Sus scrofa: one gene and its partner. Each later gene encodes a partner of the first gene's protein in a complex. Links are inferred from orthologs where the notes say so. Each region holds a gene or a part of one and is shown on either strand. Other genes may lie near its edges.

Region 1 (6,249 bases):
AAGTAATAGCATTTAGGAGTTCCCATCGTGGCACAACGGAAACGAATTCGACTGGAAACCATGAGGTTTCGGGTTCCATCCCTGGCCTTGCTCAGTGGGTTAAGGATCTGGCGTTGCCATGAGCTGTGGTGTAGGTCACAGATGTGGCTCTGATCTGGCATTGCTGTGGCATAGGCCGGCAGCTGTAGCTCTGATTAGACCCTTAGCCTGGGAACCTCCATATGCCACGAGTGTGGCCCTAAAAAAGCAAAAATAATAATAGCATTTAAATTACATGTCACATTTTTAAAAAATCCTTATACTATTCCCATGAAGTGGAAAAGGCAAATGTTCTTTTAAAAAGTATGAAAGCACAACCTCTGTATTACTTTCAGTGGTAATTAAGGCTAGAACTCAAAGTTTACCCTTGATTTACTTTTTTTTTTTTTTTTTTTTTGTCTTTTTGCCATTTCTTTGGGCCGCTCCTGCGGCATATGGAGGTTCCCAGGCTAGGGGTCCAATCGGAGCTGTAGCCATTGGCCTATGCCAGAGCCACAGCAACGCGGGATCCGAGCCGGGTCTGCAACCTACACCACAGCTCACGGCAACGCCGGATCGTTAACCCACTGAGCAAGGGCAGGGACCGAACCCTCAACCTCATGGTTCCTAGTCGGATTCGTTAACCACTGCGCCACAACGGGAACTCCCTTGATTTACTTTGATTGCTGGATCAGTTCATATCAGGCCATCATATGGAAGACACTTGATGAAATGTTTTAATTTTTGCTCCATTAAGGTTAGGGATTGATGGATTTGCAGTACTTTTCCTTTCCTACATAAACACAGTAGTCAGAAGTGTGTTGTGAACTCAGTTCATCTGGGTGAGTAACGGTCTGAATTGAAAAGTTTTCTCTCCAGTATATTTTATTAGGAAATGTTGCATGAAATACTGCATGAATGCTTACTTTGTAGCAGGCAGTGGGCATAATAATGCTGGTTATAGTGGTGAGGAAGTTAGGTATAGTCCCTGCTTTACCAAGCTCACAGTATGATGGAAATAGTACATGTGTCTTGGGTTGGCACTCACAGCTGAAAATTCTTAAATTTCTTTCTTTCTTTTTTTTTTTTTTTTCTTTTTCTTTTGCTATTTCTTGGGCCGCTCCTGCGGCATATGGAGGTTCCCAGGCTAGGGGTTGAATCGAAGCTGTAGCCGCCGGCCTACACCACAGCCACAGCAATGCCGGATCCGAGCCGCGTCTGCAACCTACACCACAGCTCACGGCAACGCTGGATTGTTAACCCACTGAGCAAGGCAGGGACCGAACCACAACCTCATGGTTTCTGTTCAGATTCGTTAACCACTGCGCCACGACGGGAACTCTGAAAATTCTTAAATTTCATCTTGATGGCATCTCTTCATTGATGTGAGAGCTGGCTTTTGCAGTAGAGATGTGTTATAGCTATCTTTAATTCTTTCTAACTCAGATTGTGAGAACTAAATGTTAACATATACAAAGCATATTTAAAGTTGTGGGCACACAATGCTGTTTGGAATTGCTGTTGGTAATGACGACGGTGTGTCTACTGGAGATGTTCTTAAAATCTTACACTCTGGAAAAAGTGCATTTTAGTTATTTAGAGCTGCTTCACTTATGCATAGACTTTGGCTTCTGGAATTAAAAAGTAATTTTTAAAGTTTTGGCAGCTTTGATTTGTTCCCCTTTCCAGGATAGCTAATTAGATTAGTTATGTAGTTTCTGGCTTTTGATGCAAAGTGTTTTGATAGAACAGATATTTTGGGGATAGGCAGGTATGGCCAAAGCATTCTTACTCAAAGGTTTATAATCAAAGGCTCCTTACTGTAAGGCTTATGATTGAGGGGTTACAAGGTAGTTCATGTGATGAACTACAAATATGGGTTTTTAAACTACCTTTAAGGGGAAAAGTCTTTACTGGGCAAGAAGAAAATTGTCTTCAATATAAGTCATATTTGGAATTCTTGAGAGAGGAGAGACTGTTCAGATTACATCTGGTGGGCAGAAGATTCAAATGAGAAGGGAAGAAAAAGGTTACTGAATAGAATAAATGCAGAAGGCTGAAAGATCTCGAAGGGAAGGAAAAGTTCATCTGAAGAAGAAACGTACCAGAAAAGTCTGAAGATAGTTGACTGGGAGAAGTAGAAAATAACTGGAGAGATGATGGAAAGTGGTGGCTCAGTTTTTCAAAAAAGAGAGATTAGCCATTGGCACATGAAATTAATAGAATTTCTGATTAGATTAGTAGAAGAACCCAAGGGCACATCAGCCAGGTTGGCAGTGTTAGTATAGGTCCATAATTTAAAACCAGAGGATTACCTTTTTTTTAGATAGCCCCTCCTCTAAGCATTTAAGGGCTTTATGAATAGTGTGTATGCCTGAAAGTTCAGGTATGGAGTAAACAACTTGATCTAATGGAAGCTCTGGCTTTAGTGTCCAAAGATCTAGACTCTAATATTTTCTGTTTTGTTAACTTATTTTTTTTTTTTCTTTTGTCTTTTCTAGGGCCGCACCCGCGACATATGGAGGTTCCCAGCTAGGGGTCTAATCAGAACTGTAGCCATCAGCCTATGCCACAGCCACAGCAACGCCAGATCCTCGACCCACACCACAGCTCACAGCAATGCCGCATCCTTAACCCACTGAGCAAGGCCAGGGATCGAACCCGCAACCTCATGGTTCCTAGTCAGATTCGTTAACCACTGAGCCACGACGGGAACTTCTGTTAACTTATTATTTAACTTCAGACAAATCCTGTGTCTCTGAGTGCAGTATGTACACTTCTTACCATGGTTTTTTAATGTGTGGTTGGTATTCTGGTAAATTATGTTCTGCAGTTGTCATACTAGTTATTTGTCTTTGGATCATAGGTACCCTCTTACCAATTATACTTTTGGTACAAAAGAGCCCCTCTATGAGAAGGACAGCTCTGTTGCCGCCAGATTTCAGCGCATGAGGGAGGAATTTGATAAAATTGGCATGAGGAGGACTGTAGAAGGAGTTTTGATTGTCCATGAGCACCGGCTACCCCATGTGTTACTGCTTCAGCTGGGAACAACTTTCTTCAAATTGTAAGTGTCATTGGAAATTAACAGCTTTTAATAGGATTGCTGTTTTATGCAGCTTTGAAATAGTTTTAGCACTAAGTCACTTATCACAACAAACATTGCCGTTAATGGAGTTTTGTTGAGGGTGTTGGCCAATGGCATGCAGGAATCCCTAGGCCAGGGATCCAACCTGTGCCACAGAAGTGACAACACCAGAACCCTAACCTGCTAGGCCACCAGAGAACTCCATATGGAGTCTTCAGGGAAAAAAGTCATAAGGATTTTTTGCCTAACTAGAAATCTGCATGTTTCTATATATTGTTGATGCTAATGACTGAGCCTGATAGAAGCTTCTGGGAAACAAATTAGTCCAAGTTCAATTTCTAAGTGTCATTGTAGCATTACTAAGAACAATTGATACTATTTCTTTCCTAGGATGAATAGTGTTGCTATTCTTAAAATGGCTTATATTTTTATAGGTAATTGTTTAGTTTTCTCATTTAAGTTTAGAAATCTCTCAGTTTATGTATAGTCCACAACTGTTTGACCAGATTGTACTAAAGAATTCTCAAATGAGTTCTTGAAAAATGCCCCATTCTTCAGGTCTAGAGAGTGTGGGTCCACTGCTCTCTGGGCATTTCTAGTCTCCAGATGGCGTCCACGGAGAAAAGATTGGGATGGACTGCTTTCCAGCAGTTATATGATGTTTATGTAGCGGTATATATTTTTTCTGTTTAAAACTAGGGTTTGTGTACTGTTAGTCTGATAAATTAGCCTCATGAATTTGACTTTCTAGCACGTTCTTGACATTTGTTTGCTTTAATTGCTTTATCGTGTAACACTGAAATATGTGTTAAACAGTACTTCATAGAAATGATTATTGTGTCCTTCCTATGATCCCCAATTGTGTTAAGTTGGAAGCTGAAGTTGTTAACCTTTATACAGACCAGGTGGTGAGCTTAACCCAGGAGAAGATGAAGTTGAAGGACTAAAACGCTTAATGACAGAGGTATTTTTCAACTTAACTATTCTGACGATTTCGTTAATGTTCATCTAAATACCATCAACTTAATGCATAATCAGTTTTTTTGTGTCTTGTGAAAAGGATGGGTTTATTTATTTAGTTTTCAATAAATAAAACCTCAAAGTGTTAGTACAGTGTTTATTTTCTGAAAGTTTAACTTATACTTTATCTTAACATTATTTTTCATTGAAATGATGTGGCAGTCATGTTAATGAAATAGCATTTACTGAGTAGTGCTGCTAAACACTGTTCTAAGTGCTTTACATGCAGTAACTCCTTTAATCATTACAACAGCACTAGGAAGTAGGTACTGTTATTAATCCCATTTTATAGATAAGGAAACCATGGCACAGAGGGTTCAAATAACTTGTTTTATGTTATAAAGCTATTATGCCCTGAAGCTGGAGTTTTGAGTGCAGGTGGTTTTGTTCCAAAGTAGGTTTTAATAGACTTTTAACAAGAGAATGATTCCTGTTGTATACTTAATTCCATTTTTGAACATTCCTTTTAAGGCTTTACTCAAATTGTACTAGTTTTTAGAAGTCATTCTAACGTCTGCCTCTAAAGATATGGGGCCAAATGCATAGATGCTGGAGATTTTTGACATTATAGCTTGTATTCATTATTAAATAGTTTTCTTTTTTAGCATGCAGTCCCCACCCCCCCATTACAAACTAATATATATTCTGTGCAAAAACCTTGGCAAATGTAGAAAGTAGAGGGAGAGACAAAACTAAAATCACCTGTAGTCCTATCTCTTTGATCTACTGGTTTGCCTTTGTAGTATTTTTTAAATGTGTAAAAGCTTTTAAATATTGTACATATGGTAGTTATACTTACCCCAGCTTTTTCTCAAAACTCCACCAAAAAACAGTTAAGGTGTTTTAGAAGATAGAAATCCAGTAGTATTGAGGGAGTGCAAAATGAGACAGAAGCAAGAACAAATTTTTAGAAGCTGGAAAGCAGATGAGCAAATCATAACTGACCTAGCAGAAACCTCAGCACAGCAGAAGGGCAGTCAGGACCCAGCACTGCAGAACACCAGAAAGGCTACGGGGTTGGAGGTGCCTGGTGCCTGTGAGAGTGGAGGCTTGCATGAACTGAACACTGAATGGACTGGCAGTCTGTATAGGATGTGTTTATATACCTAAATTGTCCTTCCCAGTCTGTATATTTAGGCAAAGACTGGCTGCTGATGAATTCTCTATAGAGACTGAGTCAAAAAATACTAAGTAGTGAAAAAGTTGAGGTGAGGAGCATCAGTGTAAGTTTACATCTTGAATAGATGGACTTCTAGACTTCTAGGCAGTTAGAGTGTTAACTAGTTTTACATATGCCAGGCTGAAGGTTTTCCTTCTGGAGAAAGTGATTAATTCCAAAAAATACTCCAGATGATGGATAGATGATGTTTGGTCATCTTCCCAGAGAAATAGTCCTATCACTCATGCATACAGAGGTGACAATTAAGCATCTTATTGTTTTACCCTTAACAGTGAGCGGATTACCAAGTGTCACCACACTTTTGAAGAGAGTTTTTTTTTTTTTTTTTTTCCTTCTTTTTAGGGCCATACTCGTGACATATAAAGTTCCCAGGCTAGGGGTTGAATCAGAGCTATGGCTGCTAGCCTGTGCCACATCAACACAGGATCTGAGCTACATCTGTGGCCTACACCACAGCTCACAGCAACACCGGATCCTTAACCCACTGTGAAAGACCAGGGATTGAACCTGCATCCTCATGGTTACTAGTCGGGTTTGTAACCCGCTGAGCCACAGCAGGAACTCCCTGAAGAGAGCTTTGTAACAGGAGATCAAAAGAAGCAAAAAGAACTCAACAGAAACAGATAATTCAGTAATCAACAGAATTATGATTATGATTTTTTTCCTTCAATGGCCTCACCTATAGCATATGGAAGTTCCCAGGTCAGGGATTGAATCCGAGCTACAGCTGCAGCAATGCCAGATCCTTAACCCACTGTGACAGGCTGGGGATCAAACCTGCACCTCTGCAGCAGCCTGAGCCATTGCAGTTGGATTCTTAACGAACTGTGCTATAGACGGAACTCTGATTAATATTTTATTTATTTATTTATTTTTGCTTTTTAGAGCCTCACCTGTGGCATATGGAAGTTTCCAAGCTAGGGGTTTATTCACAGCTACAGTT
Region 2 (6,249 bases), on another chromosome or scaffold:
CTCTGGATCACAGATACCGCATGGAAGGAATTCCAGTTTGGTTCCACTGACCATCCAAGACGTCGTTTCCTCATTCCCTTTAAGTTCCATTTCACAATCCTTGATAGACGTATATATATATATATATATATATATATATGTATATATATATACACGCCCTGGTGTGAAATGTGAGGTACTGCAAAGGATTAGAGCATTGGAGAGGATTGGGTGGTTTCTAAGTCCTTTCTCTACCCTGAACCATAAGGGCAAATATTCTTAGTACATGAATAAATAAGTGGTTTGTCTAGAGTTAGGATTGAGACATAAGGCTGTGGATGGAGTATTTCACACACAAAATGTCCAGTTATTAACCCCAGCTTTCTTCACCTTTTTAATTTATTATCCATTCTGTGCTTTCCAATGTTAGCTTCTCCCCATTCCTCACATATATACTCATCCTTTTTTATGCAGTCCTTATTTACACATTTGATTACTTAAAGTCTTCTTGGGCTTATTTGCCTCACTGATTCCCTTTGCCTTGTTTTTTTGTTTGTTTGTTAGTTTAAAAGCCACACCTGCAGCATATGGAAGTTCCCCGACTAGGGGTTGAATTGGAGCTGCAACCACAGCCCCAGCAACACGGTGCAAGCCAAATCTGCAACCTATACCACAGCCCACAGCAACGCAGGATCCTTAACCCACTGAGCAAGACCAGGGATTAAACCCATAATCCTCACGGGTGCTAGTTGGGCTCGTTAGTGCGAGCCTGGTTCCTTTTCTTGCTCTATGTTGCCCTTAAAAGTTTACTTTTAGGAGTTACGTCATGGCACAGCAGAAAGAAATCCGACTAGGAACCATGAGGTTGCGGGTTCGATTCCTGGCCTCACTCAGTGGGTTAAGGATCTGGCATTGCTGTGAGCTGTGGTGTCGGTGGCAGACACAGCTTGGATGTGGCATTGCTGTGGCTGTGGTGTAGGCCGGCAGCTGTAGCCCCGATTAGACCCCTAGTCTGGGAACCTCCATATGCCACCAGTGTGGCCCAGAAAGACCAAAAAAAAAAGTTTACTCTCAGAGTTCCCCAATGGCTCAGCAGCTTAAGGATACAGCATTGTTACTACTGTGGCCTGGGTTCAATCCCTAGCAATGTTCAAATTCCTCTTCTGTTGGGCTTCTTAAGTATTTGTAATATTTGAAGCTGTTTACATGCCTCAGGAAGTAGCCTCCTCCCCCCCCCCCCATCAGCAGGACAGTAGGATTGTCTGGGTGTGCAGAGGTCTACCCTTGTACTTCTGAGAAACTGAAAGATTGTTTCTGAAAGTTTCTGATGGATGGTGGGGTCTAAGATTGCATTTTGTAGTGAGTCTCTCTCCAGTCTCACTTCAGAAATAGCAGTTCTTGCGATGGTATTGAAGGAAGAGTGGTACTGGAGCTTCCTGTCCTGAGTTGAATTAGGGGAAATGATTCTCTTTCTTCAGGGATCTAACCAAGTTACCTAATATAAATTCTTTTTTTATTCCCTTAATATGGGCACTTCCTTTATTCCCTTTTTTATTTTTAATTTTTAGTATTTTTTTTCTTTCTAGGGCTGCACCTGCAGCATATGGAAGTTCCTAGGCTAGGGGTTGAATCAGAGCTGAAGCTGCCGGTGTGTACCACAGCCACAGCGACGCCAGATTGAGCCGCATCTACAACCTGCGCCACAGCTTGTGGCAACCCTGGATCCTTAATCCACTGAGCTAAGCCAGGGATCCAACCTGCATGCTCATGGATACTAGTCAGGTTCTTAACTCCCTGAGCTACAGTGGGAACTCTCTTTATTGCCTCTTTTAAAAGACAGCAATGACATGAATGAGGTGCAGTTTCTTTAAAACACTCCAGACTTCCTGTCTTTGTCATTTTGGCAGTATCATATTTAGCACTGTTTGGATATTTTGTTTATTTATTTATTTTTATGGCCACATCCATGGCTTATGGAAGTTCCCAGGCCAGGGATTGAATCCAAGCCACAGTTGGCAACTTATGCCACAGCTGGGCAGCACAGGATCCTATAACCCACTGTGTAGGGATCAAACCTGCAGCAACCTAGGCCTTTGCAGTCAGATTCTTAACCCCTGTGCCACAGCGAGAACTCCCTGTTTGGATATGTTCAAATGTTAACTGAAAAATTATTTGTCTGATCCTTAAAATAAAAAGGTCCTCTCAGAGATAATGATGTTGTAAAATCTGAAACATTAGGTCCCTTAATAGTAGTTCTTGTGGTTTTAGGATTTTTGATACGAGTGTTAACGTGGGCTGCTATAACAAAATACCAAAAGCCGAACAGCTTATCAACAGCTAGTTTTTCCCTCAGAGTTCTGAAAGATGGAAGGCTGAGATCAGGCTAAGGTTTTGGTGAGCAGCCCCTTTTGGTGGCAGGCTGCCAAATTGTATCCTCACAAAGAGCAAAGCAGAGCAAGCAGCTCTCTGGACTCTGCTAAGGGCATTAACCCCTTTCATGGGCTCCACCCTCATCCCATCCTAATTACCTCCCAAAGGCCCCACCCCCTGATACCGTCCCATGAGGAGTAGGGTTTCTCTCTGTAGGGGGACACAGACTTCCAGTCTATAATAGCAGTATGTTACATAGGCAAAAGTATACTTTGCCTGTCTTGCAGAATACATGCTCATATTGTAAATGCTTATGATATGGGCGCTTGTTCCATTTCCTGACCCTTATATCTTAGAGCTCTTGCACTGCTTTTGTGTATCATTGAACATCTCTGGTGTTGCTCAAAGATGTCTCATAAATGTCACGATAATGCATTAGATCTGCATGTCATGTGAGAAGTGGAACCTGTAAGGGGAAAATCGCTAGTTACTCCCTTTTTGTTTTTTAATTTCTTTTGATGGTTAATAGAAAGATGGGGTTGTGTACTATGAGTTTTAGAGCTTCCCTAATCGTTTGTGTAAATCAAATAGTTTAAACCAGGAGTTCCCACTGTGGCACAGTGGGATCGGTGGTGTCTCTAGAATGCTGGTATACGTGTTCAGTCCCCGGCCCAGCACAGTGGGTTAAGGATTGCCACAGCTGCAGCTCAGATCTCATCCCTGGCCCAGGAACTCCATATGCCGTGGGGTGGCCACGGAAGGAAAAAAAAAAAAAGTAGTCTAAACTAGTAACTCCCATTCTATTTCCATATGCTGTGGGGTGGCCACGGAAGAAGAAAAAAAAGTAGTCTAAACTAGTAACTCCCATTCTCTTTTGTATTTTGGTTCCCACTTTAACATGTGTTTCCCCTGCTTTCCATTTCTAAATAAGTATATTCTATTTCTAATAGAGTAGTGTATGGAAGTAGCATATGATGTTGAAAATAAATTTTCATTATCTTCGATGTGGTCTTGAGAAGCTGGCCTCATTGGTTGCAGTAGCAGGTGCATCTCTATGCATTCTTAGTTTGCTTATTTAATCATCATGTACCTTTTGAGTCTCACAGTTGATAAAAGCTAGAAACACCACAGACTCCTACCAGTCTTGGAAGAAACATCTATATAAACGTAACTAAGTGTTAAAGATGTTTTAAATGGGAACGTTTTTCTTCCTAGTTTCCTAGAGTAGAATAAGGAAGTTGTGTATATTGTTTTATCAACTCTCTGGCTGTGGATTGTAAGTAAATTAGAGTAGAATAGAATGAACAAAATGAAAGGCTTTCAAACCCACCTTTGCCAACCCCTCATCTCTTAGGACCCAGAGTTCAACAATACAGATCAGATTGACCTGTATGATGACGTGTTGACAGCCACCTCACAGCCCTCAGATGACAGAAGCAGCAGCACTGAGCCACCTCCTCCTGTTCGCCAGGAGCCGTCTCCCAAGCCCAATAACAAGACCCCTGCGATTCTGTACACCTACAGTGGCCTGCGTAATAGGCGAGCTGCTGTCTATGTGGGCAGTTTCTCCTGGGTGAGCATGCAGAACCAAAAAGGCTTGTGGGCGGGCTGGGGGGAGAGCACTGGGAGGTGATGGCATTTTCAAAAACCACTGTTGCACTGTTTTGTGCTCTGATGGGGTTGGATTTCTTTTTCCTGGGATCAGGTTGGATTGATCTCTGAAAGAGAACTATCCTGAGGACGTACTGGTGCCGAAGAAAGCAATGATTAAGTGGGTAGTTGCTTTTTCTGCCATCTTGTTACTGCCCCTGACCCTGGGGCTTTATGTCTCCCAGGGTCATCTGTGGGATGAGATTTCAGAGTGGACACCTCAAACTCTTGGTAGTCATTAGTTGGTCCTGTGATAATGATGGGTGAGAGGGATCAAAGACCTTAACAGCTTTAGTACTTTTGGGGTAGGTGGTGATTGTTATTCAACAAAAGTTATCATGTGACGTGTTTGGGGACTGGTAGTGGTCCAGTCAAATTAAATTCAAATTAAGAAATATGTATCTTGAGGGGAAATTAGTGACAGTGATCAACTCTAGCTTATCAGATCTATAACCAAAAGCTGCTAGTAATCAGTGTTTAAACTGTTGACCAGCCAGCCCAAATGGCAGTTAAAGTTAAAATAGGTTTTAATCTTCTTAATCTCTAATGATGGGGGTTGAGGCAGGCGTAGGTGGTTTTGGAATTCTCCATGGGTGAAGACGGTAGGAAAAATCTGCACTTGATTGAAATACCCATGGCCTGGGTTTCCTGTGGGGGGTCATGGTGATGACTAGAATCCTAGGTGTGGGGGAAGGGTTTGGGGTATTCTGGGGGAGGGGGTGTAGCTCTTGACATTTCTTCCTTTTCCATCTTGCCGGCCCCAGTGGACCACAGACCAGCAGCTGATCCAGGTTATTCGCTCTATAGGAGTCTATGATGTGGTGGAGTTGAAATTTGCAGAGAATCGAGCAAATGGCCAGTCCAAAGGGTGAGGTCCGGATTTGAGAAGCCCCTTTTAGTTTGTAACCATTGGGATAACAGATGTGTACTGTCATGTTGGCCCTGTAATGTCATCCCTCCCACCCCTGGCCCAGTTTACTGCCTCGGCTTTGGCAGACTACCGTAGAATGGGGACCTAGCTGCAGTGTGCAACGTCCATCCATTGAGGGGCAGAGAAAGCTGGTTTCTCATTCGAAATCAATAGGAAAATTTTAGGCCGACACCTTTTCGTTGCTGGTAGTTCACTAAGAGTGGAAGAGAATTTCTGTGTTCCTCTCTTGGTCGTCTGGTAGATCTCACTCATTTTTTTAATTTTTCTTTCTCAAGGTATGCTGAGGTGGTGGTAGCCTCTGAAAACTCTGTCCACAAATTGTTGGAACTTCTGCCAGGAAAAGTTCTTAATGGAGAAAAAGTGGACGTGAGGCCGGCCACCCGGCAGAACCTGTCACAGTTTGAGGCACAGGCTCGGAAACGTGAGTGCGTCCGAGTCCCAAGAGGGGGTACGTGGAGACCATCTGTATGAAGGGGGGCACTTGTTGGTTGGTTTTCTGTGGGGTGGGCTTGGCCTACAATGTGGAGAAGTTTGAGGGAGGGTGGTGGTGATTACGGGTGGCACCCTGGCAATGGGTAAGCCAAAAAAAATGAGGCTTGTTTGTAAGACAGACCACTATGCTAGGAGTCAGGAAGGTTCAGGTTATAGTTTGGTTCTGCCACCAACTCATTGTGTGACCTTGGATGAGTCACTTGACTGCTTAGGGCCTACTTTCCCATCTGAACTAGACACACGATGTATAAAATTCCTGTTAAATCTAAATTATGTGTTTCTATCTAAAAAAAAAAAATCGGTGTATGGCAAATGGGCTTACAGTTGTAAGACATGTCTATAATAAATTCTTAAGAGGCAACTACCAAATGCACAAGTACATGAAGACGGCGGTAGTCTTGTTAAACATGCACTGAAAGGTGCTCTGCAAGGAAAGCCCGGAAGGAGTGCCGTAGAGTGAGAATTGAACAGTGTTGCTGCGGCATGGTCCAGGGCAGCGTGTACCCTTTCCATTACCTGCTATTTTAGTCTGCTTGGCAAATGTTGCCCTTTAGTAAAGAAAGGTGCGCTGTGCTGCCTTAGCCTGGTGATAGTTTCCCTTAAGCTCTCCTTACCCCTCTTTTCTGATCTGTGCTCACCAAGCCTCCTCCTGATACTAATTTGGTTTCCCAACTAGGCTCTCCTACTGGGAAGAGAATGCGCTGACCAGCCGACACAAGTATTCCGGTCTGCTTGGCAGTTATATTTCTCATTGTAAATTAATAAATTGGCATTCTGATTTATGAATCAGTCTCTTGTGAGTTTGGATAGCTTGACTTAATTTCCTA

What was found. Proteins that work in one complex are often made in the same cells at the same time.
Region 2: the proteins of NUDT21 (region 1) and CPSF7 are in contact, whole or in part, in a crystal structure (PDB 3N9U), measured with the Homo sapiens proteins. The link is inferred for Sus scrofa from reciprocal best matches to the Homo sapiens genes NUDT21 and CPSF7. Residues at the interface, in NP_008937.1 of Homo sapiens: Arg68, Asn152, Glu154, Pro156, Tyr158, Tyr160, Pro162, Ala163, His164, Ile165, Thr166, Lys167; in NP_001129512.1 of Homo sapiens: Trp91, Trp92, Thr93, Thr94, Asp95, Gln96, Glu112, Lys114, Phe115, Glu117, Asn118, Arg119, Ala120, Asn121, Gly122, Gln123, Ser124.

Annotation. Positions count from the first base shown.
Region 1 is NC_010448.4:29,341,262-29,347,510, forward strand, and holds part of NUDT21 (cleavage and polyadenylation specificity factor subunit 5), read left to right. Parts: intron 1-2,884; coding exon 2,885-3,085; intron 3,086-4,006; coding exon 4,007-4,070; intron 4,071-6,249. UniProt on the Homo sapiens protein: Component of the cleavage factor Im (CFIm) complex that functions as an activator of the pre-mRNA 3'-end cleavage and polyadenylation processing required for the maturation of pre-mRNA into functional mRNAs.
Region 2 is NC_010444.4:10,092,773-10,099,021, forward strand, and holds part of CPSF7 (cleavage and polyadenylation specificity factor subunit 7), read left to right. Parts: intron 1-3,703; coding exon 3,704-3,922; intron 3,923-4,054; exon of another isoform or gene 4,055-4,120; intron 4,121-4,763; coding exon 4,764-4,867; intron 4,868-5,205; coding exon 5,206-5,378; intron 5,379-6,249.